3 linked regions of the Nothobranchius furzeri genome follow. The protein of the gene in region 2 purifies or fractionates together with the protein of the main gene of each other region. This does not show direct contact. Links are inferred from orthologs where the notes say so. Each region holds a gene or a part of one and is shown on either strand. Other genes may lie near its edges.

Evidence for each region.
Region 1: the proteins of prkacab (region 2) and cdc37 purify together in Homo sapiens (affinity purification with mass spectrometry; 3 studies listed by BioGRID, with this or other methods). This does not show direct contact. The link is inferred for Nothobranchius furzeri from reciprocal best matches to the Homo sapiens genes PRKACA and CDC37.
Region 3: the proteins of prkacab (region 2) and microtubule-associated protein 2 purify together in Homo sapiens (affinity purification with mass spectrometry; 3 studies listed by BioGRID and IntAct, with this or other methods). This does not show direct contact. The link is inferred for Nothobranchius furzeri from reciprocal best matches to the Homo sapiens genes PRKACA and MAP2.

Annotation. Positions count from the first base shown.
Region 1 is NC_091745.1:3,427,344-3,435,174, forward strand, and holds the start of cdc37 (hsp90 co-chaperone Cdc37), read left to right. Parts: upstream 1-3,131; 5' UTR 3,132-3,146; coding exon 3,147-3,148; exon of another isoform or gene 3,149-3,154; intron 3,155-3,918; exon of another isoform or gene 3,919-3,979; intron 3,980-5,538; exon of another isoform or gene 5,539-5,780; coding exon 5,781-5,889; intron 5,890-6,126; coding exon 6,127-6,402; intron 6,403-6,814; coding exon 6,815-6,920; intron 6,921-7,009; coding exon 7,010-7,125; intron 7,126-7,221; coding exon 7,222-7,344; intron 7,345-7,508; coding exon 7,509-7,691; intron 7,692-7,831. Other genes in the region: uncharacterized protein, read left to right, coding at 1-193, 450-522, 572-628, 897-1,163, 1,243-1,575, 1,654-1,908, 1,980-1,987; cmc4 (cx9C motif-containing protein 4), read left to right, coding at 2,859-2,916, 2,995-3,131. UniProt on the Homo sapiens protein: Co-chaperone that binds to numerous kinases and promotes their interaction with the Hsp90 complex, resulting in stabilization and promotion of their activity. Inhibits HSP90AA1 ATPase activity.
Region 2 is NC_091744.1:6,142,472-6,150,302, forward strand, and holds the start of prkacab (cAMP-dependent protein kinase catalytic subunit alpha), read right to left. Parts: upstream 3,872-7,831; 5' UTR 3,648-3,871; coding exon 3,602-3,647; intron 1-3,601. Other genes in the region: asf1bb (histone chaperone asf1b-B), read right to left, coding at 6,418-6,612.
Region 3 is NC_091742.1:61,552,840-61,560,570, forward strand, and holds part of microtubule-associated protein 2, read right to left. Parts: coding exon 7,361-7,731; intron 7,236-7,360; coding exon 7,041-7,235; intron 6,919-7,040; coding exon 6,781-6,918; intron 6,242-6,780; coding exon 6,195-6,241; intron 5,299-6,194; coding exon 5,181-5,298; intron 5,066-5,180; coding exon 5,012-5,065; intron 1,920-5,011; coding exon 1,612-1,919; intron 1-1,611. UniProt on the Homo sapiens protein: The exact function of MAP2 is unknown but MAPs may stabilize the microtubules against depolymerization. They also seem to have a stiffening effect on microtubules.

The sequences.
Region 1 (7,831 bases), on a different chromosome or scaffold from region 2:
CCTAAAAAAGCATGTGATTTCTCGCCTTCTTGTGCGACTGTTGTGGCCTGAGGCGATGCGCTGTGCTGCATTCTGGTCACAGTGTGAGCCTCACAAGCTGCATGCAGCACCAGAGCAGCGCTCCAGCCTGCTGGGGTCCAGCAGCGTGGAGGCCAGAGGCAGGATGAAACAAGCTGCAAAGCAAAGAGATCCAGTCTGTCGTCCAGCTTTTATAAAAACCACCTTGATGGCAAGAATCTACTTGACATGAATGTCAGGAATTCAGATTTACATTAAGCTGGAGTTCTGTTAATCCCAACGGCTTATATTCAAAGCGTTTGCTGATTTTTCTGTAAGATCTCAGATATTCTAGTTGTAAATTTGCAGAGGCGATTATAAGCTTTTGATTTAATCCCTAAACATCTCAGAAGGGGAAGTAATGGGCTGTGTTAAATGTCCCTCTTTCCCAGTCCTCCCCTCCATCCCCTAAGTCAGCTGGGAGGGAACCGTGTTTTGTTCCACGTTCCCTGCAGAGTTGCCAAGGTTGTTCAAGTTGGAATTTTCTTTCTTTCGACGGCTCGGTGCTAAACAAATACCATGGGAAAGAACGTTCTAGCGTGGATTATCATTTCCTGCCTGCTTTGTTCAGGTAAGATGAGGTGTTTTATTTATTTGGGTTCAGAAACTTTTAAACTGATCTGTGGACTAAAGGATCCATAATGAGCTGCAACTTCAGAGGGAAGTACTTTAGATTATTTTAGCATGTTGTGGATTAAAATCTGAACACCATAACATGTTTGGTTATGAGTCATTTTGCTACTGAACAGGCTTGATCTGAACAGTGAAAAGTTGTTTTATTGCATCTCTGACTGGCTTAGCCATACCAATCCTTGCTCACGAGTCCCCGTGTGCCTCAGTGTCAGGTGAAGGTTGCTCCCTCATTCTCAAGCCCTCCAGGGTGGTGGTGGGGTTTGGGGAGTCGGTGTCGGTCAGCTGTGAAGCTACACGCCCGGTTCGGGTCCTGGGCTGGGAATCGGCCATCGGAACGCCACACACACAGGAGGACCAGTCTGTCCAGTGGAAAGTGGACAGTCTTATCGACTGGATCGAGGAACCCATCTGCTATGGGGTGTTTTTCAAAGCTCCGAGACAGTGTGAGGAGAAACTCAACCTCGTTCTCTATAGTGAGTCAGTCCCTCTCATTTTTAAATTTCATGACAGAGCTGAATGTTTGAGCTGAACTTTTGATCCCCTTCATTTCAGAATCTCCCGACAGTGTTTCCATCAGGTTGGTGAACCACACCGGCCCCATGATGGAGGGGAAGGAGTACCAGCTCCTCTGTGAGGTTCAGAACGTTGCTCCTGTTCAGTATCTCACCCTGAGGTGGTACAGAGGTCAGACAGAGGTGTACAAACACTCCTTCTCTGACCTCACATCTTCCTCTCCTGTCCAAGTGTCTTCTACTCTTGTCATCACACCAACCAAAGCTGAGAACGAGGCAGAGTATAAGTGTGTAGCAGAACTGGAGCTTGGACCAGAAGGACCTCAACCACCTCCAACAGTGTCTTCAGAACCTCTCACTGCCTATGTCCTCTGTGAGTTATGAAGCTACTTTCACTCCTAAAATGTCCCAATAATGAAACGTAAAGTCTGTCATTCTTTTTTTTTTTTAGTTCCCCCAACTTTTTTCAGTCCTGAAACAGAAGTTTTAGAACTTACCGAGGGTGATGGGATCACCCTAAACTGCACAGCTGCAGGAAACCCTGCTCCTGCCTACAGCTGGCAATCCTCCCATCCCATAGAGGAGCGGGTGAAGGAGGAAGCAGTCATCACCTCCTCCTCCCTTCTCCCTGGGACATACACCTGTGCTGCCTCAAACACGCTGGAAAAGAAGAGCAAACAGTTCATTGTCAAAGCAAAGACCAAAGGTAAAGGGGAAGTATGAGGAACTACATCTGCAAGTAAAACTCTGCATCCTAATTTGTTTTCTGTTGTTCAGGTGTTTAAGGCCCACTAACAGGACTTGAATCAGCTGGAAGAATTTCACTGAGCAGGTTTTATTGCTGCTGCCTCATGAGATGGAAGCATTCAGTAATCAGTGGATGTTTTGATGTATTCTGTTATCATACAGAGTTAGATCTCACAAAGAAGACAAATGAAGATGTTTAGCAAACGCCATTTATTATGTGAAGGTTGATTTTTGTCGTAGTCTACTGTTGTTGTTTTATGTAATAAAATTTCCCTTATTATATATGTACTAGAATATTTTTAATGATCTAATAAGTAAAGAAAATCATAATTTGACAAAGTATAACTACCCTTGATACGCCAATGACTAACAATGTGAAGTTACTGTAAATATGAACTGTTTCTAAATGTTCTTATCTTTATAAATAAAGTTAAATAAACAAAAAATTCTTTTTATGGTTTGATTTTTAAACGTGTATTTTGATAGTTATTAGTGCCAGTTCTGAGTAATGTAAATAAATAAACAAAATTTCCGTACTTGTGAAAAATACCTCCCACCAAAAGATTATGGCTTCTTTAAAATGTAAATTTATACTTTCTGAAGGTTAGTTAATGAAAAAAATATTCAAAATTATTCTATAAATACATTTTATGTTCGGTTACTGCAAAACATTTTGGAATTACATTTAGGTTTTCAAGGCGACGTTGTCAAATTCCTTTGCAACACCAGAGGTCGCTGTTGTTCATTGTCCGGATTTGATTAGATCTCGTTGCGTCACATGATCACTCTCGCGAGAGGAGAATGCATCGCACTAGCTAAGACGTCCAGGTGGGAATCGGCTTTTAGCTCCTTTTGGGTATCCTGATGCTTTAAAATTTGATTACACTATTGCTGCGTTTTCTTTCAGGCATGCCGGAGAAAGATCCGTGTCAAAAACAGGCATGTGCTATTCAAAAGTGTCTGCAAGGTACATTAAATGTAGATGAAAATGCTGCTAGACAGCGGGCGAACCCCACAGTCACATAACTCCGTTCCACTCCTGCAGCCAACAACTACTCGGAGAGTTTGTGTGAGAATGTGATCCGAGAGATGCGGCGGTGCTGTGAAGCTCAGGCCGGGAAATCCATCTGCTGCTCCGGGTTTAGGGAGTCCAAACCAACGGGGAACAAGAGCAACGCATAAAAACATCTCAATCAAATGTCAGTGTGTTTGGCATTTACCGTTGGAATGTATTCATTATTACATGTATCATAATAATTATCATAAAAGTACACACTAAACTTAACACTGGACGTGTAAACGTGTAAAGCTTTAAGATAACACTCCTCCCTGGCAGTGTGATTAACTACAACCAGGTTATGTCCACCGCCCTCTGATCGTGTTAAAATGATCGAATCTTTGCATGCCAGTGAGCTGAAGATCACGTGAGACCATGGACGTAATTTTGGGGGGGGGGGGGGGGGGGGTCAGGGGGACATGTCCCCCCCACTTTTTCCAAAGTCAAGTTTTGACCCCTGCACTTTTTACCATCCAAAAACAATTTTACGCTATATTAAATTCACACTGGTTGAGCTCTAGGACCAAGTGGAAAACAACTGTTTGTGTTGAAGCCTGTTTCCCATTAGAGCATACTGTAAAGATACCCCCCCCCCCCCCCACACACACACACACCCGTGTCCCCCCCACTTCTAAAGTGAAAATTACGTCCATGCGTGAGACTGTTATAAATATGCTTGCTTACAGAAACAAATACATTAAAAGACTGATAGTAGACATCTTGACTGTGATTCTGGTGGCAGACCCAAACTAAACTCCTGATATTTATATTAAAGTGGTCCCAGCTCTCCTCGTGTTTATTCTGCTCAGAGCTCTGGGTTAATGTAAACGTGACGATTCACGATCACCAGGTAAAACATTTAACTGATCTATATTTTTGTCTATTTGTGTGTGTTTTCATGTCCCTGTTCAGGTCTGTAAAAATAGGTTTTTTTATCATCATGCTTGTGAGTAATGCACATATAGAACACACTGTAAGTATTTTCAGAAACATTTAATTTCTAAAAACAATCTCATGTGTGGCAATAATATGTTCCATATTACACCATCCTAACACCAACTTTCATCCTTCAGTCATTACTTCTTTAGAAGCTTCCTAAACAGATTGATAAAGAGAGCAATTATTCTATTATTATTACACATACTATTTTAAAACTGACCATTGCTAACAAAATACTAAAATTCATTGCAAAAGTCATCCATTAATAAATTATTGATCACGTCGAGGTTCCATCTTCACAGTGCAAACATTGAGATTACCAGTTTCAAACTCTTGAAATCATTTAGATTTATTCTAATTGAATGTGTCCAACAAAATGCTTACTGGCACTTATAAGAATGTCCATGTTGGGTGGATGAAGGGCTGAAAGCAAACGAAACAAGAGAAAATTTAACAATTCCAGAGATGAGCTGATTCTGGATTTAAGGGCCAACATGCAGATTTCTTTTTCAACCCTGACCTGCTGAGCTGATACTACTATTTTGGGCTGTTTATGTTTAATGAAAAATCAATCAGATTTTTGGTATTTGGATGATCACTGGTTAAGACGCCATACTGAATACTGGCTTGTTTGGATCTCCAGTCAGCTTTCAGGGTCAGCTCTAATTATTGTTTCTTGAGAAGCGTTTGCTAGTTTATATCTAAACATTTACTTGTGGTTTTTCCATCCAAAGAATAACAAAAAATAAAATGAAAAAAAAAAAAAAAAAAAAAGCTGAACACTATACCATCATCAAGACCTCTCAGCCTCTGTTCTTGGTCCAGTAAAGAAGGTAAGATGTCTCGCTGAGAAAACAGCCTCAGTCTGTGGATGTTTGACAAGGGGGAAAAGTCCAAGAAGATAGTTTTATTCGGTAGAGAAAAACAGTTTGCTTTTTTAAGTTTTACAGAAATGTTTAGATTAGCTGAAAAATAATTGTGTAAGATACTTGATATTTTATAGTACTTTCAGTTTAGCATACAATAATAAGTTAATAAATAAAAGAAAGTCAAAGCACAAATGTGGAGAAAAAGAAGTCACGTCTTGTAAAGAAACTACAAAAATAGTTGTGATGTAAATACTTTTATAATCTGTACAACAGACTAACATTCTGACTAATCTGCTGCTAACCAGGTTTAACTATATGCAATAATATGAGGATAAGGATGGATTGGTACACGATCAGACATTATGGTTTTTATGTAGGCTACACAAATGGTATCTATATAGTGGAAACGATATTTCGGTTGTTTAGAAATCTGAGTAACTACAGTAAAAATACGAAGAAAGAAATGAAGGAAATCTGTTCAGTTCACTTTTGTAACTCATGGTGTTGTGCCGGAAAAAGCCCCTCTGTTCGTATAGGCATTTGTGTCAAACAGACTTTGTTCGAAACCGAACTTTAACTCATACATCTTTACTTGTTTATTAACGGGGTGCGTTTGTGAAAAACTTGGTTTTTCTAGTAAGTTTAACATACGGTCGCAGGCACATACGAGTGCATTTTTTACCACAACACCTGCGTCATACGTGCCTTTTACGTCATGACGTTTAGGCGTGTAGCGGAAGCTTGCAGCAGCGAATCTTTCTAGAATTTTGTAGCAGCATTTGGCTAACTGTCGCTGAGACAGTCCAGCTCCTTCCCTTCTGATAAGACTACAGTCTAATGCGCCGTTGGTAGTTAACACATCTTTCGGAGACTTTGGAAAGCGTCAGAGTGTTGTTGAATTTGTTTTTCCGAGAGTTTTAATTGAAATTATCGAACTCTTAAAACAAGCTAGGTTCTGGTTTACAGGATGTCCAGGATAGATTACAGCGTGTGGGATCACATTGAGGTCTCGGACGATGAAGATGATACCCACCCAAACATTGACACACCCAGCCTCTTCAGATGGAGACACCAGGTACCTTTTTGATTTATAACGTGACTGAGTTTTGATTTTCTTTTAACTTCGGACTGGTACTTTGGTTAGCTGGCGTCCTAGACTCAGTTTGGTGTTGCAAACAACATTCTCCCTATGCTAATTCCTAGCAAACCTGTTTATGTAGCTGTAGTGAATTACTAAGCCTACAAAACTTGTAACAAAGTGTATTGTAAAAGTTTTGTACCTCCAGTTGTGATTGGCATCATCCCATTTCAGGCACGTGTGGATCGAATGGAAGAGTTCCAGAAAAAAGGAGAAGACATCAACAAGAGCCTGAAAGAATGTCGGCGCAAGCTGACTGAGACGCAAAAGAAACTGCAAGAGCTAAATGTGTCGGGTGAGGCCAAAGCAGAGCTGAGCAAAGTCCAGGCTGAGGAGAAGAAATTGAAAAAGGAGGAGAGAGATTGGGAGAGGAAGTTGGATGAATACAACAGAGAGGAGAAGAAGATGCCGTGGAACGTGGACACACTCAGCAGAGATGGTTTCAGCAAGGTGACTAGGATCAGGCAACAGCTTACTGCGAAATAGAAAGTATTGGTTTGCATCCACTGGTATCAATGTTGGCAGACCTGTCAATTTATAATCAATAGTTGTCTCAGCGGTTTGATGGCAATATTTTTTTCCCCCAATTTCATGTTTAAAATCAGTCTAGTTTGATGCTCAGCATGAATGTTGGTCATTTTTTTGTTGGGAGTAGCTTGTATACAATCTCCTGAAAATACAAACTAAAATCATCCTTTAATTGTAAATAAACATAATCAAGGTTTATATGAAGTGTGTTATTTTTGAATATTTAGAGCTTATATACAACATTCTAACATGCCGTTAACTTACAGAACGATGCAATAAAATGCATTTGAATGCAGTCGTCATCTATTAACGGTGTTTTGTTTGTCTTCATTAGAGCATTGTTAACGTCAAACCAGACCCTTCTGAAGAGACAGAAGAGGAGAAGGAGCAAAAACATAAAACTTTTGTGGAGAAGAACGAAAAGCAGCTCAAACATTTTGGTAAGCCCGCCTGACAACCATGATTAAAATGAGCAAATCAGTAGGACAGTAAAAATAGAGATGCTGATTTGTCGCTGTGGTAACCTCAGGCATGCTGCGACGCTGGGATGACAGCCAGAAGTACCTCTCTGACAATCCTCATCTTGTATGTGAAGAAACTGCCAACTACCTTGTCATCATGTGTATTGACCTTGAAGTTGAGGAGGTAAACAGCTTAAAAGAAATCTCGTGCTACTATTGTATGTCTTACATGGTCACTGTCTGATTAGAACATGAGCCTCTGTGCCTCTTCGTTTTGCAGAAACATGCTCTGATGGAACAGGTGGCTCATCAGACCATCGTTATGCAGTTCATTCTTGAGTTGGCCAAAAGCCTCAAACTGGACCCCCGTGGTTGCTTTCGCCAGTTTTTTGCAAAGATCAAGGTAATTATTACGTGTTTGGACTTTTGTATTACATACGTTTTTAAGGGGATACTTTTTTAAAAAGTAAAATTATATCTATTCTTGTTTGTTTTGATGAAGTTTCTGAAAACACTCCATGTTGGAAGTGCTTTCATGTTACTTTTCTTGTATGTTTATTCACCCAGACAGCAGACCAGCAGTACCAGGATGCTTTCAACGATGAGCTGGAGTCATTCAAGGAGCGAGTCCGTGGAAGAGCCAAGATCCGCATCGAAAAGGCCATTAAAGAGTATGAAGAAGAAGAACGACAGAAACGCATGGGTCCTGGGGGACTAGACCCCGCGGAGGTGTACGAGTCCCTTCCACCTGTAAGTGAATGTGTTAACCATATTTCTGATGTCGCTGTTTTACCTGCGTTGTAATACAGAGTGTTTTTAATTATATGAGATGCAGAAATGATTTGATGGGAAGGACATTCAGATAGAATAGAGTTTATTAATTCCACAGT
Region 2 (7,831 bases):
CTGTGGTCTCTGGTATAAATAACACAAGCTTGAAGGAGTTCTGCTATGTTGTTGAGTTGCTAATGCTAACCATAGACAGGAATACGTAGAATCCCCTTTTGGCTACTGGAGAGTGCTACAGCGTTGCCGCCATATTGGATGGGAGGTTCTTACTCTACGAAACCAATTGGGAGTCAATGCATAGCAACTATGCCCATTTTTTTGTACAGGCTATGGTTGCAACAACTGGCGAACTATTGAAAACAGATCACATAGGAACTTTCTGGGACTTTTCTAGCCTACAAGTGTTGGAGTTATACATTTTTATTTGTTTTATGTCATTATATTTATTTTTTAACTACTACACCATACTATATATCTGGAATGGAGACCCGTCCAAGATGGCGGCCGGCCATTACAGCAGCTTCAATAGGCAGCGCCAGTTCACAGGGCGTCTACGTACAGTGGGTACGGAAAATATTCAGACCCCCCATCGATTTTTCACTCTTTGTTATATTGCAGTCATAAAATTCATTTTTTCCTCACTAATGTCCACCCATATTGACAGAAAAACACAGAATTTTAGAAATGTCTGCAGAGTTAATAAAAAACACGAACTGAAATATCACATGGTTCTACGTATTCAGACTGAGACTAAATCAACAACAGCCTTCCCCGTCAGGACCCAAGATGAGTGAGTCCATGAATGCTAGTTTACAGTGTGACGTAAATCTATGTGACTCTTTCTAACCCAAGTGGTTCCCATCTGTTTTCTATCGGTAGCTAATGTCGGAAACAGTGGTAGAAAACTATTTTCACGTCCAGCATGCATGTGAAAGTCAGAATGTCAAATCGTATTTCAAAAACATTGAGCAATAAATGGGTTCTCAGTGAACCTGCTTTTTAGGAAAATTCTTACTTTCAGACAAAAGAAAGTTGACTGAAGGATCTCAAAAAGCAACATAACCTGCCCTGTTTTAAAGAAAATATAACACAAAACAGCATCTAAAACACTACAGGCCTGGCTTGGTTAAGGTCAAAATTCATAATTCAACATAAGAAAAAGCTGAAAAAAAAATTGCATTATGAGAGTTCAAATGAAGGCAACTGGACTTCTTTGGTTTCTTGAAGATGTTTCGCTTCTCATCCGATGAACTTTGTCAATTCTAACTGGACTTTCGGAGAGTCAAGCTTATAACCCAACAGACATACCATATGTAGGCCCCCCTTGGATTGGTGCTGTCTTTATGGTGTCTAAAGCTTAGGGCACACCGGAGACAGACGCGCCACATCGCGGCTGCGCTATCATTTTAAATGGAGGCCATTATAGAAGAGGATAGGAAAAATGGTTAAGGGAGCTTCGAATCCTTCTTTCAGTAGGAAAGAACAACCATGAATCTTGCCATGTGGTAAATAGCAGCTACACGGGGGGGGGGGGGGGGGGGGGGGACGTCCGATTTGTAATTGTAATTACAAATTTTTACAAACTCATACGTTTCAAAATTTGACAGGTGTGATCGAAACACACATCTTTACTTTTCATTTAAATTGAAGTGCAACATGTGTGCAATTCAGGGCGTCAGGCAAAGCAGATTAAAAAATAGCTTTTTTAGCCCCATTGACTGAAAATGGAGATTAGTGGTGCGTTCCAGTTGTCGTCAGAACTCGTTTTTCTGAGGTAAGTTAACCGGAAATGACGCATTAAACTCAGAATTCTGAGCTGCGAGCTGGTAGGTTTCAGAGGACCCAAGATCACAAATTTTAAGATGTCCAGTGCTACCAGGAAGTAGTTTTCAGCTTTATTTTTTTCTCATTTATATGTTCTGTTTTTTTTTTTTACAGAACCGAGTAGTTGTTTATTGTTGTTATCAATTGTTATGTCGTTAAAAATTTCAACATTTCTGCCTAAATTGACCGGTGTCACTTTTCCTGGCGTTTCTACATCTTATTTGTAATGTTTTTCAGGTTGTATGTGGCAACTGTCGATGGGGGTGTGTGTCACTATTATTTAGGTGCACAGAATACTTGGTAAGTTCTTTTGTTGAAGTTCTTTTAGTACTCAACAACACTGGTGGTGTCCATTATTTTGTGTTGGAAGCCTGAATGCACGCTGTTACACTCCCCAGAGCCCAATGGGTCATCTAAGTATTCATGTTTATAGTTCCAAGGCCAGAACCTCAGCAGATTAAAAAAAGAACACAACTAAGACCCATCTCACATTTGCCAAAGGCATCATGATCTCCCGGGCTTTTGGCAAAATATTTTGTGGACTGACCAAATGAAATTCAAACTTTATGGAAGGTGTGCAACCCATTAAATCTGGTGTAAAATTAAATGTCAGTGAAAGAGCATCATGGTCAACCATGGTGGTGGTAGTGTGATGTTTAGGGCTTCGCTGCTTCAGCACCTGGACCACTTGCTGCAACGGATGCAAACATGAATTCTATCAGAAAATCTTGAAGGAGTTTGTAGCCTTTGACCTTAAAGCTGCATCAGCTGTTGTCACCAAAGGTGTTATCCCCAATTAAACAGTTTTCACATTAGCCTGGCCTGCCAGACTCATCCTCTGTTTAATTCTACACAGAGAACTTCCCATAAGGAAGCATGCGGCTGGCTGCAGGCTATTTTCACATAGAGCCAGACAATTTCCCCCCACCTTGATGAATTAAATCAGATACTGAAATTAGCAGAGTCTGAAACATCTAAATTTGACCCCAAAAGCAAAGACTGTAGAAATCTGTAAAGAGGTAAATACTTTTTCCCAGCCCCACACATCGTCTATCAAATTAGTCAAAGTAAATCCAGTTTTATTTAGTAACAGGATTGCTGTAAACGTGAGTAAAACTTACAGCACAACAACACACAAGAATAACATCCAAAGCAGCGATTCTGAGCCAAAATATTCACGCTTCATATTGAAGAATGTATATTTTTCATGTTTCCAATGTGCAGGTTGTTTTTACTGCGCCCTGAGGTACAAAGGTTGTGGTTCTTAATGAAAAGTCACGTAATGTCAACCTAAAATGTAGATTTATAAAACACAATCGCTTTGATTGCCATCGCTTTCTCATCAGTAGGCTTCCATACTTTTGTTTATTTGATAGACCAAATTATATCCCTTAGCCAATCAACACTAAATGCCCCCCCCCCCCCCCCCCCCCATGTTTGCAAGAAGTCTTGACAATACATCCCTCCAAAGAGCAACAGGCACAGAGTGTTCAGGAAATATCTGACACATAGTTTGTTGCAGTCTTGCCAAGATCCGAGTACAAGAGGAAGTGAGGATGCCAATATTACTGCAGCTTAAGAGTGGTTGTTTTGCAGTTAATTCTAGCTTTGCATCCTCAGTTAAATGCCCTGTAGCAGGAAATCTTGAGTTTTATTTAGAGATCTCAATAACATATTTGAAATGATGAAGAACTTGCAGCCATCGCTGCTGGTATGGGGTTCATGTCAAATAACATCCTAATTCGCTTGTAAGGAGGACATCATGTGGATGGTATTAAATGAAAGCATCGTGAGGAAAGGCCGCTGTGTTGCAGGTTTTGTAAAGCTAACATCGCCTGCCGTGTCACGTTGTCTCTGATCATCTCGTGAGGATGTAACGGATCAGGATACCCACCGCTTTCCATCTCGCTGCCCTTTCTTGCCGTGGGCGCGTTGCCCATGATGACAACCTGTCAACAGGCAATCCGCGGCGTTCCGGCCGCCCTGCAGCCTCCTCAAGTCGGTCAAATCTCGATCTGGACGGTGTTTTCCTGAATCCAGCAGCAGCACGGAGCGTTCACTCCGAGGTCTTGCTCTTTAGTAGCCTGACAGCTGCTAATGCGGCGCCACGTTAGATAAGCGGGTTCGCTCCCTCCCACGGTCACCCGCAGCCGCTGGCCAGCATCGGATTTAAATCCACGTTGAGCTGGGGCTTCGCCGGAGCTTCAGGGTTGAGCTCGGAGGCAGCTGGCCTGGACACGGAGGATACAGTCTCCACCTGACCCTCCTTGCAGCCCCCGCCGAACGGAGCTCCCCTCCCCGGCTCTCCACCACCTCTCCCAGCCTATAAAAACAACAATACCAGCGGAGAGGGAGCAATGTTCTCAATCGAAAGCGTCTCGCTTGTTGTCAATAAAACCAGCTTAGCAAAATTTTAGCCTCAGCGGGGTCCGACAACGACAGGTATTCACCCAAATCAACATCGGGCCCCCGTAGCCTCGGAGACCAGCGAGATGACGGAACTACAGCGGAGCGAACGTCCCGCCTACTTGCTTAAACCAGCGTTGAATGACAGCTCGTGCTTACGTCGATGATTGGCCACTTTATCAGAGCGGTGACCAACAGTTTACTGTGATTGGCCAACTGCAGCCGTCAATCAACAACAGCAGCTTCCCACCGCCCAACACAACGCGAATGAGGGCAACGTCACAGAATATTTTCCTCCCGACAACGACTCCGCCCACTTTTTGTGATCCGGCCCTTCTATTGGCTAGATACGGACGGACCGTGGGAATCTCAGCGAACACGAGGACGCCCATTGGCTGTCACCAGTGATTGACATAAATACCCTCCTCCTCTACTTCGCTCTTTCCCGCTGCTGAGCGACTGTTACACGTTTGGCTGAGTGACGTCAACCGTGAGTCTATTTTTAGAAATGTTGGTCAGAATTTAACGCACGCGCGGCGCAGTGTGGCAGCAAAGACATCTAAACATTTCGCAGGCTATTCTGTGAGAAATGAACACAAATAAACAAGATTTTAAAAACTGGTGTTTCATCTTCATCACCCCGCAGCAGCTGGACTAGAGAGCAGCGGACCAGGGGTCCTTTTATCATCAGCATCATCAAAAGCTCCGATTCGCAGATTTGCATTAGAATGCCCCTTTGATTTAACGTAAGCTTGTGTTGGTAGGAAAAAATAAATCAAATCTATAAATAGATCTCATAGCATCCTCATCACTTTGACTCTGAAGCCACATTTTTTACAGCACAACCAATTAACCAGCTATATTCTTTTCCACATTTGATCTCAGGTGCTGTAAAACCATGCCAAATGACTGTCAACGTTAGGCAAAAGTGGCAGCTCTTCAAATTAAATAAAGATGCAACAAGCAGATGTTTGGCAATATTTACCAGATCGATTTGCAGCTGATCAGCTTATTTTTAGCTCTTAAACCCTGCTGCATGTTTACATAATGCTGCATTCGGAGTGCATCCAATTCTGATTGCTGCTGTTTCGGTTGTTTTAAACAGGGCAGATGTGAGAAGCAGACAGAGGTAACAGATGGATTGAAGGGGGAGTTACTCACTGATCGGTATAAAATGGTCGAGAGCAGACACACCCCTCCCTTCTCTCTTTTTTGCAGCAGTTGCCTGGCAACATGAGGCTAGAGTGGAGATAGAGTGATGCTGCTGCATTTTATGAATGAAATTGGAAAAAAGAAGGTGGTGGGGGGGGGGGGGGGGGGGAGTAGTGGGTTGATGCGCACCAACACGTGCCCCGAGTCTTCCCTGTTTGTCACAGATTTTTTTTCTCCACACAAGTCTGAAATCAGACCAAGTGAGCATTAGAAATCAGAGCAAAATCAACAAAACCAAACTTTATTAACCTTGTTGCTTGTGCACAGTAAAAGGCAGAGGATATATGAGAAGTACAAAGTGAAACGTCTGCTTTTGAAGACAAAGCGGGTCATAGGAATACATTTACAGTAAAAAAGCCCTTCAATGACAGCAAACACACCCCGAACCCAAGTTCTGATCGTTTCCCTTGAAAAGATGCATCAATCGAAGATTTGGGTTTAATACGGTACGTGATGTAGAAAAGTCCCAAACAAAGCCCGTCACTTTGTGGATTTACTCTGCAATACCAGTCAAACAAATGAACAAAAGATTTCTAGAGTTGCACCAACTCAGATTTTGTGTTAATAATTATTGTGAAACTTTTACCAGCTGATCCCCGATTCTGAATCATCCACAACAAATAACATTAGGAAAATACATGAATTAATCACTTCAAATGCTTAGAAAACTTTCCAAAGATTGGTTTCTGAATTATTTTATCATTTGCTAAACCTATTCACACTGAACACTGTAACAGAATTTGAAACTGAGAACATAATAAAAAAATAATAAAATAATCACTAGACATTCGGCTCATATGCCTCATGGCTGTGGCGAGCCTGTTGGCAACTTAAAACTTCTCAAGATGAACCTTTTTGATTATTTAAGGCAGATCTGAACGAGCACACAAGGAAGCAAAGCTGGCAATTATTCCGTTCTCACCTGAAGAGCCAAATACAAATAATGTCCACGCTGCAATACTGAAAATTCTCTTTAATGTCCACATTTCACTAAAAGAACCATCCATGGCCTTTGGTTGAAATGTGTGGTTGCGAGGTGGCTGAGTACTTGTTGGGAAGAGCTTCTTGTCCATCATAGGAATCTTTAGACCCTTACATGCAGTCCATGGAGTTGTCCGGCATCTGTGCCAGAGGGGGCATCTTTCCCGGTATACAGGATGGCGGGAGCATGCCACTGGTGTTAGATGGGTCAACATTCTCACAGTCCTCCATCTTATCTGCCATGCCCTCCCAGTTAATGTGGAAGCGAGTTACACGGGGGTTTGAGGCCAAAATGTTTCTCTGGAGCTACAAAAGAATTTAAAAAAATTCAAAAAGACAGGAAGTCAGATTTAATAGTCATTTTTAGGTCTTTTTGTTCAGATATAAATATTTGTAGCATCACAGTAAAGAACGACTAGATACAAACACTTCAGATCATCATTTCAATTACTTTTCTAGCCATTAATTCCTGACAGTTAAAATGCTGACAGTTTAATAGACCCAAGCAACATCAGCTCCATCATACTTTTAGAGACCACATGGAGCAAAATGCCCGTAATCCTGTTTATAGAAACAAACTAAAATTCTGTTATAGAAAGCTAGAGAAAATAGTGTTCTGATAACACCAGACTTGGGCTCTTGGCGCTGTCTCACTGCCATCGCCTTGTGGGGTGCCACTTGTAAAGTCAAACAATCATAACAGTATTTTGGGTTATTTAGCCCATCATAAGAGAAATAAAATGGGAGTTTATTTTTCAAAGTCATATTTTCATTATGTTACTCACACATTTATAAATGTTAAAGTTCCCAACTAAATATTTTGTTAGAAATCTAAGTATTTCATTTAGTTATTTTTAAACTAAATATTTAGGCCAGACTTAAACATTTAGCTTGCAAAATCAATATTTAGGTTCAGCTTCAAAATAAATATTCAGCTGGGAACTAAATAGTTATTTAGAAAAATTAATATTTACTTGGTAAAAATAAAAATGTAGCTCCAAATGAAATATTTAGTCAATTAAATATTTATTTTACAAACCAATTATTTTGGTAAGACCTAAATATTTAGTTTGTTTTAATTTTAGTTTTAAATCTAAATTAAATACTTTTATCACAAACTAAATTTTTAGCATTTATAAAAATCTGAGTAACATGGTGAAAACATGATGTAGCGTGATGAATTGTCCATTTCTGACCTAAAAGGCCCTGCTCTGTTTTTCTCTGCTCAAAGCAAAACCAGAAATTTCTGACACAAACTTAATCTGCATGAGATATTGCTCAAGGTCGCATGCTCTGCTTCTAAACGGTTTCTTCCTTTCCAGCTCAAGAGAAGAATGAAGACAAAGGGCTCTCTTAATAAATCAGAAGAACTCTATTTTTAATAAAGCTAATCAAACAAAGTCATATGTGCAAAAATGCACCTTAAACAGAGTTTAAGCAGCAAAACATCACTCTGCTAATAGTGTATATATAGTGAGACAATTCATGATTTAAAGTGTTAACTTTCGCCAGTTGTCGTATGCAC
Region 3 (7,731 bases), on a different chromosome or scaffold from region 2:
AGATAGTGGAATCTTGGGGGTGCGTCATCGGAGGTCAACAGCTGATGCGCCTCGCTCCGCAGCAACAAAGCGCATCAGGCACAAATAACAGACAGAAAACATGAAAGGAAATGAGCCGACATGAACGATCGCGTGTTTAATTTGTTTTTGAGGTGGTGACACCTGATTTGGCGGTGCTCAGGACGCAATGTCTAGAGCGCACGTCAACGATCAGAGCTTTGCATGCGCAAACTGGTTAAGATTAGGATGGGGGTGAGGGGAAGGTTAAATTGCAAGAGGGAAAACATCACAGTTTGGTTAAATGTCCGTTTTACCGCCGGTGTCAGTACCGCACAGCGCGTCGCCTCCGCCTCGATCCAGACGCGCAGGGGCTCATCACCTGCTGTCTTTTCCGAGGACTGCATCTTGTCAGTCATTATCACGTGACAGCGACTAGTTGATGACAGGCATAAAAAGTCACTACAGAGCCGTGAAGTCGACTAGTCGACTAGTTCGTACAACCCCTACCCTACGGTAGTTTTTAATCACACCAAACAGGGTCAAAAGCTACAATAAGAGGTCTTTTTTATATTTGCATTTGCTATATTATAAATACTCAATGCTGGAGAAAGAAAAACTGAACAAAAGCTCTTATAGGAAACCGATTCAGCAATTTAGAGCCAATGAGAATTTTGAAGGTTATTTTTAGACAGATGACTGTTTTGAGTTGTTATATTTAGAAGTACATTCCCAGTATAGTCTATCCTCCTCCGCTGAGGTGGAAACATAGGAATAGAAATAAGGAGAAGGAAGATGGAGGGACAGGGAAAGGGAAGAGGCTCGAGGCAGGACATGAAGCTTCATCTGGCCTGACGAAGATGGCAGCAAACACAGGAAACACACACAGCCACAGAATGCAGGAATACATATGATTGTGAGTGAGAGTGAGCACTTGAAGACAAATATCTCAGTATTCCAACATATTTCTACATAGCAATCCCAAACATTGTTTAAAAAATGCCCCAAATCTTGCACAAAATACATATAATTGTAGATAATGACATTAAAATATGAATGTTTATCCTCAAAGTGTTTAGATGGTTTTAAATCCATATAAACTGTACGAAAAACAATGTTCCTTTATCCTTTTGGAAGAAAATACTGTTGTTGAGGTGCAGACTGTGGGTTTGTACGTTACTGTCCCCCTGTGGCAGGTTTAGGTACACACTCAATGATCACATGGTTAAGCACGTCTCTAATTGTTTAAAACTAATCAGTCAACACATTCAGGCATTTAGACGTGGTGAAGATGACTTCAAATTAGTTATTGCAAAGCTACAGGAAAGAGATTTAAGGAACTTTGGACTTGGCATGGGTTTTGGTCCGACTATTCCTGAAACTGCTTATTTTCTGGGATTTTCACCCACAACCATGTCTAGTCTTCTTATCATGGTTGTGCTGCAGTGATGCTATCATGTCATCATGGACCAAAACCCCTGTTCTACCCCAAATCTAAGTAGAAGAAACGGCCAACACAAGCCCTTTCCACAGATGTCCAACAGGACACCCTAGTGGTCCTTACACACAAGCAGGGTTTAATAAATCCAGCATGTTTTAGCATGTTCCTTCTACCTGTCCTCCTTTTGGTTGATGTTTGATGTTGGCCGTGGACCCAATCTTGGACTTCACATTCTTCAGGTCAGGCAGGGGCTGGTTGAGGACCTTTAGCTGCCGCTGGATGGAGGACGGGGACTTGGGCGGAGTTCTGATCACCGCCACCTTCTTCTCCTGGAGGACGCTGAAGGATTTCGGGGTGTGGCTACCAGGGGTGCGAGATCCAGGGGTACGGCAAGAGTAGCTGGGGGGCGTGCCGGGTGTCACGGCTGAGCCTGGAGTGGAGGCGCCGCTACGGACTGACCTGGAACGGGTTGAGTCTGTGCCTTGGAAGAGAAACGAACATTAAAGAGAATGAAGATGGAAAATGTTTGTAATCAAGTTCAATTCTTGTGATGATGGATGGAAGGAGAAAGTTGTAGTTTTAATGCCATTCAGCTTGGGCCCATGACAATCAGTTAGAACAATTCATTAATTAGTAAGGAATAATTTTATTTTTGAGTTTTGAACCTGCAACCTTCTAGCTGCAAGACAACAGTGCTAACAACTGCATCACCATGCAGTCAATAGTCACATACCAAGTTGAACTCTAACCAAACACGTTTGTAACCATCAACAATCTTCTGTCGTACTTCTGGTTGACATTGGACCAACCTACTTGACAGAATTGGTAGTTTGTTGAAACTTTTTGGTTTCCTGGGAAAGACTTGTCATTGATAAACAAGTAGGGCCAATGGGAAGGTCATTACAGATGCCTCATGTTAGCTTTGTGTAAACTATTCCTGATGTTCAGCAACACTGTCCTCTCAGAACAACGTGTTCATTAGCCTGGCAAGCCATCATTCATAGACAGACAGAATAGATAGACAGAATAGATAGACAGATCGATCGATAGATCGATAGATAGATCGATAGATCGATAGATAGATAGATAGATAGATAGATAGATAGATAGATAAACAACATTAGGCAGGTGCATACATTTGGCCACTGTTGGAATTCTACATTGGTTTGGAAAGCTCAGTGACCCTTGACCTAGGTGAATCCAGTTATGAGAGAGTATTTAAGGGGGCCAATTGTAAATTTCCCTCCTCTTTGAATATTCTCTGAAGAGCAGCAACGCGGGGGTCTCAAAACAACTCTCACATGAGCTGAAAACAAAGATGGTTCTCCATCATGGTTTAGGGGAAGGATACAGAAAGTTGTTTCAGAGATTTCTGGTGTCTGTTTCCACAGTTAGGAACATACCGAGGAAATGGAAGACCACTGGCACAGTTCTAGTTAAGACTCAAAGTGGCAGAACAAGAAAAATCTCAGATAAACAGAAGTGAAGAATGGAGAACAATCAGAGTCAACCCACACACCAGCACCAAAGACCTACAAAATCATCTTGCTGCAGATGGAGTCACTGTCCATCATTCAACTATTCAGTCCACTTTACACAAGGAGATGCTGTATGTGAGAATGATGCAGAGGAAGCGTTTTCTCCTCCCACAGCACAAACAGAGCCGCTAAAGCACATCTGAACAGCTTCATTTGGAACAAGGTGCTGAGGACTGATGAAACTAAAACCGAGTTATTTGGGCGTAACAAGGGGAGTTATGCATGGAGGAAAAAGAGCACAGCATTGCAAGAAAAACACCTGCTACCTACAGTAAAGCATGGTGGTGGTCCCATCATGCTGTGGGCTGTGTGGCCAGTGCAGGGACTGGGAACCTTGTTAAAGTTGAGGGATGCATGGATTCCACTCAATATCAGCAGATTCTGCAGACCAATGTCGAGGAATCAGTGACAAAGCTGAAGCTGCAGCGGGGCTGGATCTTTCAACAAGACAACGACCCTAAACGCTGCTCAACATCTACGGCATTCATGCAGAGGAACAAGTAGAATGTTCTGGAATGACCATCTCAGTCCCCAGACCTGAATATTAGTGAATATCTGTGGTGCGAGTTAAAGAGAGCTGTCCATGCTGGAAGCCATCAAACCTGAATGAACTAATGTTTGAGAGCTACTGCTGCTATCCTCTGTCCTTGAGCTTTTACTTCAGCTACGGTCAGTCTAGATTTCTAGGCTAGTATCTGATGGTTTCAGGAGAAGAATTTGGAGGTGATCCTCCTTCAGTCCACTTTATCCAACTGCAGTATGATGCTACCACCACTCGACAATTGGTTCAGTCCTCACCTTGACTCCTACAAACATATTTCTTCTCATTGTAGAAAAATATTTGTCTTGTCTGACCATAAAACATTTCACCAGAAGAAATCTGTTAAGCTTATTTTTGGTGATGTAAAACTTTTCACTCTGGACACTCATTTTTAATAGTGGGCTAAAGCGCTAAACACCAGTCACCATTTTCTAGGTCCAAACATCTTCTGTTGTCCGTGACTTCAAACGGAGTTTTCTTTAGGGACTCTAGTAGTTTGTCCTAAAGTTGAACTGGTAGCAGCCGGCTGTTTCTCCTTCTCTGATATTACTGAGCGGAGAACCTCTCACACCAGTGGTGATCCGTTGCTACATGCACGAGCGCGTGAGAAGAGTAAATGTGGTAAATGCGGAAGTGTTGTCTTGAACTTGTTAAGACCTTCTAGAAATATCAGATTTTTGGGGAATTCATGTCTTTATGAATAATTTTGACGTGTTTAATTCTTGTTTTTGAAAATAATTTAAGTTGTGTGTTAAGACAATCATTCCTCCTTAAAAATGGACACTCAATAACATTTGAGTCTACAATGAGTGGATGTAAACTTCTGACCTCGGCTGTATGTGCGGCTCAACTGTGATCGAATGAGCTCAAGTTTCAAATCTCAAACAGCCCAGACCAAACACGAATGTTTGACAATAAGTGTGAGAGCACACACGGCTCTGGCAGCTTGTTGCTGGGTTACTAAAGCAAGAACCAATAGGGTTTTAAATGCTGGATGAGAAACGCACCTGGTGTTTTTACACCAACCTGCTGTTTAGCTGCAAGAATCAGTTTATTAACACAAACTAGGGATGCACCGATACTGATACCAATGCAGCTGCCTGAAAGTGGCTTCACTGTAACTTGTAATTTCTGTTCACCTACGATTTTAGTTTTGTGATTATTTCTATTATTATATTTAATTTTTATCAGCCTTGCAGTCTTTTCCTGTTATTATTGAAAATAAAACTTGTATTCTAATTCACTGCATTTTTGGTGTGTGTTAGAAGTATCGTTGTTGGTAATCAGTACGGCGAGTACTCGGATCCAAGTATCAGTTTGGAAAAAAAGTGGTATCACTGCATCCCTAACACAAACCTTTCTTTCTGACTGGATGACTGAATCTGAGAATGTACACTTGATTCTAAAACCGGCAGCTTCTCCTGATGAAACAGCGGTTGACTTGATGCTGATGATGATAAGAGAGTGATGAGGCTAAGCTATCAGGTGGTCTACCTGCCATACTAGGGGCCCTTCCAGACCTGCTCTCCCTGGAGTCGGTTCGGATCGCTTCGAAAAGTAGGAGGGAAAAGAACAAGAAGGTTGAAGAGGAACGAGGGCAGGAGTTTAGACTTTATTCAGATGTAACGCAGTTATTAATAAACAAAAGTAGATTGTATCTTACAGGTTGGCCTAGAGGGGGTGCTGTTGTCTTCTTGTTCAGAAGCAGGAATGTGGCGAGTCAGCGACTTGGCCGGCCTGGGAAGGGATGACCTCTTCTCAGGGCTGCGGTACGTTCGCTCCTGAATCAACAAACAAGAGTCAGTATCTTCGTGGCAGCTAAAGCTACATCTCAGTTCCTTTTGCCCCTCGTTAATTTACCTTCCCCGCCACTTTGTTTGGCAGAGGGGACGGGAGGGAACATGCAGAGGAGGAGCGGGCTTCGTAAAGCTCCGCCTCCACGAGAGGGCTTTGTTTAAGGACACAGGCAAAGCCGGGCCGAGGGGATGGGTGATGGGACCCCCCGACGCGCTGCGCGGCCATCTTTAATAGAACAGCCCTTGTAGGGCTCTGGATGACCGATGGGATGAAGAGGTGATGGCAAAATGAAACAAGAAATGAAAATATTTCATGAAGAAACACAAACTATGCAAATGAGTCTTGAATTAGGGAAATAAAATGAAGAGGATTTTTGAAGTTTGGGTACAGCAAAGTCTGTACTCACAGATTTTCTCTGTCGCGTCTGAGATAAAGAGATGGAGTGCATGCAAAACAAAATGATGACACCAAGACAAAGAAAGAAAGAAAATACAAATATGGGCAAACATAATTCAAGGGTCAATATAATCATGCAAGGAAGTCAAAGAAAGAAATAGATGAGTTGAAAATTATGAAGACACTGCAAAACTTTATGTGTTCCATTAATGTAATATTTCCCTAAAATAAACCCACTCAAGCACACAACCAATTTCTCCTCCTTAACCTGTTTTTTTTTTTACTTTTTTTAAAGACTGGACTAATTTTAATGACACTTCATGAGGTCAAAATAAAAAATATTTTTTTTACTTCAATCAAGGGAATTAAGTATGTTTGAGACGATGCTGTTGTGATTTAATTGCCCCCAAAACACACATTTGACATTAGTTAAATTAGCCGAACAAGAAGACTTAAAAGTCTTTTAAAGAGGTTGTATACTTACAGTGGGCCTCTCTCTGGACACACTGAGCGGCTGATGGTGGTCCACACCTGAGAGGTAAAAAGAAGCATGTCAATATCAACCAGCAGGGGGAGACATGTACTGGAGTAACACATGCACATAAACAGAGTACACATAATGAATTGAGAAAGGAAGAAAGAAAAAAAATAGAAGGCCAAGAATTTGTTTCACAGTGTGCAAGAAGTTGAAATCCATAAAGATATACAGTTTCACGCCTTAAATATCAACAATTAGCAAAGAAAAGCAAAACTGAGCATAATAGAATATGAATGTGGGCAATTTTTTCACCAACAAGACCAAAATGACAGCAGCTGAGTTGAAAATGTACACGTTTTTAAAAATGGATTGGCAGCACGAGATGTTTGCCAGCTACAATGCACTTTTCTTGATTCCTCCATGAGCCAAAAACTAAAGAGAGATCAACAATTCAGAATTCAAATCCAATTTTTTCTAGAAATTTGCATCTATTTTAACAAACTGAGTTGTAGAGACACTGCAGAACTTTTAACAAAAATCACTGAGGATCTCTCTCTATTTGTGGCATTGATGCATGGTGAAAAGTGTTCACCTGTGGGCTTGCGTCTAACAGTGACGTGAAGCGGAGCAGGCCTAGGATGTTTGGCCGTCACTTTGGCTCCACTTTTTCGAGAAGGAGAGCGACTTTGGAGGGCTGACACCTTATTCTGGTCAGCCCTCCTCACACCTACTAGCAAAGGGAAGAGACAGGATTAGACAGACCTGTGCTCAACAAGTTTGCTCATGGAACAACAATGTTATCGAGTCCCTTTACGAAATATTGGAATAGTTCTTTGAATACAGAATCAGAACCTTTTTTCTTTATTTTCTCCTCCATTGGTGGATGGTGGATTGGAGTTTTGCATGACACTTTACAATCAGCAGTGCCAGGGTGACGCCGTCCTTTGGTAGGACCTCGTTTCGAAGGTCGCTCCACCACCAAAGACGGTTTAGTCTGGGTCAGAGGAAGGGCCTCGATTTGCTCAGTCATGATACTTTTATCCTCATCTGTATCAGAGAGGGTATAAAAAAGGACTGATTCTCTAAACTAGCAGGATGCTAGCTTTAGCCAAGACACATTTACCAGGATTTTACCAAAATACAGAAGTAATGTATATCAAAATTCTGGGTACCTTGTGAGTCCATCCAGCCACTGTCAGTATCTAGGATTGACACATCCATTGTAGTTTCATCAGCTGCCTTTTCCCCAATTAATTCATTTTCTTTCTTCTCTTCTGCTTCACCAGAGACTTCTTTCTTCACAGTCTTTGTTGGATCCATTACTTCTTCATTCTCTTCCATTCCTTCCACATTGCCTAACTCTATGCCTTCTTTTTTATCCTGGTCCATGTCTTCGGTTTCTAGTGCATCCTCTGAATGCTGCAGTAAATCATGGTCAGAACATGGAGACAAGTGAGAACTGTCTGTTGCAGGCTCTGCATCGTCACTGTTTAGAGCACTGTGACTCCATTCTTCTGCTCCGGATTTTGGATCATCTTCCATC